2 linked regions of the Arabidopsis thaliana genome follow. The protein of the gene in region 2 interacts with the protein of the main gene of each other region in a pairwise test. Each region holds a gene or a part of one and is shown on either strand. Other genes may lie near its edges.

Region 1 (3,756 bases), on a different chromosome or scaffold from region 2:
CACAATGTCTTCATTACCAAAGCTGATATTTCTTTGGACGTGAGAAATAAAAGATCGCCGACATTTCTACTGAACACGCTTCTTGCAGATCTTATTCAGTACCGGTAAATTCTGTTGTGTAGTTCTCTAGAGAATAGTAATTTTCTTGACCATGCATCTAATGAGAATAAGGAGTTTAGGTTAATACTAATATCATTGTGTATATACTTGTCTCTTCTATTGGGGAAGCAGGTGAGACCTTACATTTTAGATCTTGGCAGCACCAACAAGGCCTACATTAGTGAGAGTGTTGAATTGCATCTCTTCTTAATTGTTTTGTTTTCGTGGTTTAGATAAAACGTACGTTAGTAGTGACCTTTGTTTTTCTTTTTTCAGAAAATACATATTGAACCACAACGCTACTATGAACTTTTTGAGAAACAGGATTATAATTAAGATAAAAGAATTAAAAAAGTGTGAAGGAATTAAAATTTTAATTTCAATGAAAATAAGGGGCCAAGTTGAAATATATAGAATATACAAAAAAGAAATTGTACAACTATTTTCCTTTTGTATGAAAATAAATTAGTTTTTTCTTTTAGCAAAAAATTAGTTCATGTATTTGCATTGCATCAACTAAAATAGTTATATTAAAAAAAGGATTTTTGTGTAGCTGTGATATTTGGAATAGAAAATCCAGAATAATAATATCGAAAATTGTTTGCTTTATCCCCCTTTCTTTTGTAGAAATTCTCATATGATTAGTGGATGATTCGGTCCAAGTACTATCATTTAAGGATCTGTGTAGTATTAAAATCTCGAAATCTCTATTCGTTATTAACTTTGTCGGTGAAGGGGTTGATATATAATAAACCGAAGACTTTTTGTGTGAAAAGAATCATGTAATAACGGTACTTATTCATTTTGTACTTATACTAAAATAAATACCGATTATGTTGGTGGTAGACTTCTAAATTTTAATTAGCTTTTTAAAAAGACCCTTAATTTTTAATAAAATTGATGGAAAGAGGAATAGTTACTTTCTATCTTCGGTAAAATTCAGGACCCAAGAAGGTCGAGGCACGTGCCCCATGATAGACTTGTCATGTGATGTGACCTATTTTCTTTGTCCAACAATTTTTTAAAACAAATTGTCATAGGCTAGAAGTCGTCAAAAGTTAATAAGCAAAAAACGCAATATTTCAAAAATAAAAAATTTAACAAGAATGAATGACACAAACCTAATCGTCTTGACATTTTATCTCATATATCAATAATGCTCAATCGAGTGTAAATACTTTTTTTACATAGTAAAAGGCGAATAAGAGAGCAGATCATGTAGCAATTATTTTCACTATTATTGTTATTGTGTTGTTGACTTTGATTTTTAGTTTTTAATAGCAGGGTACAAATTTGTACCTTCAATTATGTCACCAACGAGTGTTTGAGATAAGATTAGACAATAGTAAACACAAAATTGATGTAAGCTATTTAACATGTTTATTGAACTGTAAATAATTATATCTGTTTTAATATATTTTTTAACTATTTTTTTTCTTAATTGATATTTTATTGTATTAACACTCCTTCTTATTAACTTTGCAAAATAAACTGTCATCTTGTAAATTATTACCAAATCTTAACACTATTATTATTGACTTTAGAATCTAAGATATACCTAAATAATTTCTTAAGGCCAAAAAAAAAATTATCATCTTTTTATTTAAGTTAATCTAAGATATAAACATTAAGAGAAAGTTGCAAAATTAAAGAAAAAATATCTATCTTTACCTGGATACAAAACTTATACTTTTGGATAATTCATATGAAAGTCTCTCTTCTAATGTAGTAAAAACTTCTACATTTCACAGCTAAAAACTGAAACCCAAATTTAAAATTTCGTGTATAGTACCGAGGAAAAAAAGTATTTGCAAGCAAAATCTAGAGCAGAAAAATTTAAAGATCTTTTGCTTCACATGACTCTATTGTTTTTTTCTTACCTCTATTTTTTCAAGTCTGCAGCTTTTTGAAGCTATATTTTTCAGATCTTTCACTCTCTCTCTAGCTACTTCTTTTTGTCTTTAAGTTTTCAAATTTTATTAAATTTTTATATTCTACTGCCTCCTCAGCTTCTCTCACAAAGCACAAATCCAAGCCCCAAATCAAATCCCACCATTGTTTTATTACCTCAATCCAAGAACACTAGACACAACAAAAATCTCTGTTTCTTATCCAAATTTCTGATCTTTGTGGAGAACAATATTTTGATTGGATGTGAGACAAATGGGTTGTTTACATTCCAAAACTGCTAATCTTCCTTCTTCTGATGATCCATCAGCTCCAAACAAACCAGAATCAGGTAATAATACTAATCTCTTAGATTCTAAAAAACTCACATTTTGTTTGCTCACTTAGTAAATCTGCAGTTTTTCGTCTGTTCTTGTTATGGGTTTGCTTTAATTTGTGGGGTTAGGGTTTGTGAAAGGCTTAAAGCAGAGAAAAAGTTATAAAGTCTCTTCCTTTTTGGAATTAAACTCTTGTTTAGATTGATTTGCCTTTTCGGGGTATGTTTTGTTATGTGGTTACAGTAAATGGGGACCAAGTGGATCAGGAAATCCAAAATTTCAAAGAATTTGAACTAAATGAGTTGAGGAAAGCTACCAATGGGTTTAGTCCTAGCTGCATTGTCTCTGAAGGTGGAGAGAAAGCTCCTAATGTCGTTTACAGAGGGAAGCTTGAAGGGAATCATCTTGTAGCTATCAAGCGATTCTCTAGGCAATCTTGGCCTGATGCTCAACAGTTTGTGGTAAGATATCTGAGAAAAGGTCAATGCATGATTTGTTGTTCATTGATTCATTGTCTGATTTTAGACCCTGGGTGATTCTGTTGGACTATCTCTTAGGCAAACCGCATCAATGACTAGTCCAAGGAATGGTGATTTAGGTGTAGTTTTTAGTTACAGAAGAAGAACAAGGCATCATTTTTCGATAAAAGAATAAGCGTCCCTGAGTTTGGTTACCACTGAATTGTAGAAAAGTCGATAACTTCGGGTTTAAAGCTGCTTTTAAATCTTAGGATACGACTAATGTCTTGACTGTATATCTTGACTGCTTTTAAATAGGAGCTTTGTCCTGGTGTTGACCTTGTTTGACTTGTGAAATCAGGTGGAAGCGACTGGTGTTGGGAAGCTTAGAAACAAGAGAATAGTTAGTTTGATCGGTTGCTGTGCTGAAGGAGATGAGAGGTTGTTGGTGGCAGAGTATATGCCCAATGATACTCTCTCAAAGCATCTCTTCCACTGTAATAGTCTTATCTTTCTCTCGTTATAAGCTTGGTTTAAAGTCTTCTTTAGATGATTTACTCTCTTCTTTCTGTGTTTGTTTGCATTGTTTGCAGGGGAAAAGCAGCCACTTCCATGGGATATGCGTGTTCGAATCGCAGACTATATTGCAGAAGCACTTGATTACTGCAATATTGAGAACCGAAAAATCTATCATGACCTCAATGCATACAGAATCCTCTTCGACGAGGAAGGTGATCCTCGTCTATCTACTTTTGGTCTTATGAAGAACAGTAGAGATGGCAAAAGCTATAGCACAAACTTAGCTTATACTCCACCTGAGTTTTTACGGACAGGTAAAATTCTTGATCTTGTGAATCGTAGTCGAAGACAAACCAATTCATTATTGAAGATTAAAGTTCTCTGGTTTTTCTTTTGCAGGTAGAGTCATTCCTGAAAGTGTGATATTCAGTTATGGAACTATTCTTTTAGATCTT
Region 2 (3,756 bases):
TAACCGGATTGAACCGGTTCCAAGCCAAGCGGGTCGACCGGAAAGAGAGTAAACAGAAGTTATCTCTCCTTGACCCAACCCGGAAACTATCCCGAGCTGTAAACCGAGATCCTGAACCGACAAACTCAAATAACCGTTGATGGTCCTCGCAAACGCGTCTTCGGGAATCGCGTGGCTAAGCCATATGGTGTGTATAGGGATTCTCGAATGGGCTAATTGGGCCACTTGATGGGCTTGACGGTCCGTTAAAACGAACACGGCGGTGAAAGGGTTTTTCTGCCGGCGATCGTCTAACACCTTAACCGCTTTCTTCAACGCGTCGTTCACACTCATCCCTTCACCGGAGAAATCAATTCCGACGCCGGAGACAGAACCAGGAACGGTGATGATATCTACGATTCTTCGCGCCGATCTCCTCCCGTTCGCCGTCATCCTCCGTAACGGCGATAACCGTTTCGAGCTGGACGAAAACGCAATAATCGATAAACGATCCATCTCCCGGAGATTCGAAAGCACAATCCTCATCGTTTGTTTCAACATCTCCAATTTCCCACCGGAATTTCTCCCGCTTACGTCTAAAACAGCAACCAAATCCACCGGCACTCTACGCGCAAATCCACGCGCCGTCGGAAACGGTGGCGATTTCACCTTCATGACGACGGAGTAAGTCTCGTAGCCTTTACCCGACGCAACGATAGCCGATTCCGGAGAGAGCTTAACGTCCACGTTTCGATCCGTTAACAATTTCGCCGTTAAAGGTGACGGAGTATTAACGGAAAATCCTGTAAACTCCTCGCAGTCTTCGTTCTCATCTGATTCAAGTATTGTGTGAAATCCGGCGGGAGATATCGGAGATGAAATCAAAGCTTCGTCATCGTTGTAAACTCTCAACGACTTGTTTTTAATTTCCGGTTTGATTTGAGATTCCGGTTTAGCGTAATTTCGAATCTCAGGCAAAAGCGAGGATCCGCAAACCGGACAAGAAGCAAGACGGTTATGATTCGCGGCGGCGCGTGAGGTTACGCAAGGAAAATGAAACGTGTGAGAACACTCCGCCGTGAAAATCGCCGTACCTTGACCTGATTTCACACTCTGTAAACAGATTCCACATTTGTTACTGCTACTCTGCTTGAATCGGAGTTTGGATTTGAGGAGAGTGAAGCTCGCCGGAGAAATAGAAGAAGAAGAAGGTGTTAAAAGAGAGACAAGGCTTCTGTTTCTGGGAGTTGTTTCTCCGGTGGTGGTGGTTTTGCACTTAAGCTTTGGAGTTCCGGGAAGAGATGAAGTAGTGGAGACGGCGGTGGCTGTTGAAGTCCTGCAACGGAGGCTGTAAGTTCCGGTGCCGGAATCAGAACGAGGCGTAGAAGGAGTTGAGAAAAAGCCGAATCGAGAGGTTGATTTGTGGCGGAGACCAACGAGTCCGTCGTCGTCGACGTCGTTTTGGTTAGTTTCTTTGGGAATGGAAGTGCAAAAAGCTCTTCTCCAGCCGTTTAACATATTTGCTTCTTCTTCTTCTTCTTCAACCTCGTGACTCGTGTGTTGTTGTTGTTTGTTTGAGACTGAGATTTTGGTTTTTGGTTCTGTGAGAAAGAGATTTTAAGAAAATGAGAGAGTTGCAGAGAGAAGGTGGGAGAGGTTGAATTTAAAAAGGAGTCTTTTTTGTTCAATTATAGTGGAAGATTGGGGATATTGGGATTATCTATATGATTTTTTATTATTTTATTTTATTGAGAGAATTAAGAAATAGTACTAATAGTAATTGACTACCTAAAAAGCTGTAAATATTTTAGAAGTTACTCTATTTGTGTAATTGCTTTTCTACTCCATGGTTGATTATAAGAAAATGATTGATTTTTGGTATTAATCTTTTTCAACATAGAACTTATGAGCTACATCTATTATTGCCCCACTCATTTTAACCTTTTAAGTGATAAAGCTTGTTTACCACCTAGATTAAAAATATATATATATATATTATATAAAAAATTGAACAAGATAAACTTAAAGGCTTCAACCTAAATGCTATGATAGCAGACTGACTATATGTATCTGCTAAATAACTAAACTAATTATTTAAATTTGTAAAATTACTTTTAACTTTACAATTTTACTCTGAAGTTCATTCACAAACTAAAACATTTTGTAAATTTATTTTATAGATATCACCTACTTTTATATGAAATCAAAATATTTTATCAAGAAGAGATCCCTTGTTCTTTTATTATTTTATTTGATTACACGTTATTCAGTAAAAAAAACTTTGGACAAAAACGTTATTTAGTAAAATAACATGTATATGTATAAAAAAATATATATGTTTGTATAAATACATAACAACATTTTAGTTAAATCGTTCAAATAAATATTTTCACTTGCTTATGAATGTTTAATAGTATTTTGGCTATCTAAAAACTTACCAACAAGAAAATATCCAACTATAGGTGATGTCAACCTACGAAGAAGTCTCACATGTCTATTTACATAAGTGGAAGCACTCGTTCACTCGTATGAACAATAAGATGTATGATTGGTCAAGACAAACAAGAAGTAACGTTCTTTACAGATTCCTCAGACTTGATAAAAGTGGTGTCTTTTCCAACAAAGTGACCAATCTTTGCTACGTATTTAGAGGCGATTCATGAAGACAAGGATGTGTTTGATTTTTATATTTATTTTTATTTTTTTGAAGTTAAAATGTTAAAACAGATTATTTAGCACGAAATGTTCATATCCAACCGCATTTTATTACTTTTGTAAACAAGATTTTTAACATCGGTTTATTTAAAGTAATCTAATAAAAGGGTCCATTAAAAAAAAACTTGTTTAGCACCGAAATTTTTGTAATAATGTCTAGTTATTAATGTATGGGCTATACATATATGCTATTATGCCCTATCGATCCGTCTAGTCTCACGCTAAAATTTTTGACTGTCTAAATAGTTGTTATTGGAGAATCATTTGTTGTTTGACCGTTATTGTGTAACACACTATTGAAACTTTGACAGAATTTAATGTAGTAGATGAGCAAATATGATTGGGTTAAATTAATACAGTGCAGTGAATGTATAAACGCATAGATTATGGGATCGATCTATGGATGTGAGCCAATTTTAACTTGTTTATATATCGATCCATGTAAAACATTTAATGTTCGAATCAAGACTTGATCCGATAAGCCATCATCACCTGGTGAATAGAAAATAAACATGTTGCCACCACTAGCTAAGCTATAACAATAATACCAACTACATTTCTTCAGCTATTTATTGCTAAGCTATAATGCTGAAACTGAGGTAATGTTCGTATACTGATAATAACGGTGGATGCAGTAAAAATGTTATAGGTGATGAATGGTTTCTTTCTTTTATCTAGGCCAGTGCATAATACCCGAACCCGATCCAAAAAACCCGATCCGAAAAATCCGATCCAAACTCGAAACCAAACTTTTAAAATACCCGAACGGTTCTAAACTTTAAAATCCAAAAAATTCGAACATATCTCAAATATAAGTATATATTAGTTATATTTATACTTATATATAGAAAATATTAGGATTTTTTTGGATATTTTAGTTATTTTGTGTATTTTTAGATATATTTAAGCAAAGCTACTCGTATTGTTTTGGAAATTTTTGAAATTTTCAAATAATTAAATAAATTTACACACAAAATTTTGATATTTCAATATATTATTATTATTATTATAATAACATTTCTTTGTCAAAAGTAAACTTGCTCGAACATAAAAACGTATTTT

The links. Proteins that work in one complex are often made in the same cells at the same time.
Region 1: the proteins of WAVH1 (region 2) and BSK2 interact in a two-hybrid assay, tested with the Arabidopsis thaliana proteins (one large-scale study listed by BioGRID).

What each region holds. Positions count from the first base shown.
Region 1 is NC_003076.8:18,892,425-18,896,180, forward strand, and holds the start of BSK2 (BR-signaling kinase 2), read left to right. Parts: upstream 1-1,953; 5' UTR 1,954-2,262; coding exon 2,263-2,338; intron 2,339-2,567; coding exon 2,568-2,785; intron 2,786-3,143; coding exon 3,144-3,279; intron 3,280-3,375; coding exon 3,376-3,615; intron 3,616-3,700; coding exon 3,701-3,756. UniProt on the Arabidopsis thaliana protein: Probable serine/threonine kinase that acts as a positive regulator of brassinosteroid (BR) signaling downstream of the receptor kinase BRI1. Mediates signal transduction from BRI1 by functioning as substrate of BRI1.
Region 2 is NC_003071.7:9,643,174-9,646,929, reverse strand, and holds the start of WAVH1 (Zinc finger (C3HC4-type RING finger) family protein), read right to left. Parts: upstream 1,661-3,756; 5' UTR 1,498-1,660; coding exon 1-1,497. UniProt on the Arabidopsis thaliana protein: E3 ubiquitin-protein ligase involved in the regulation of root growth. Acts as a positive regulator of root gravitropism. Possesses E3 protein ligase activity in vitro.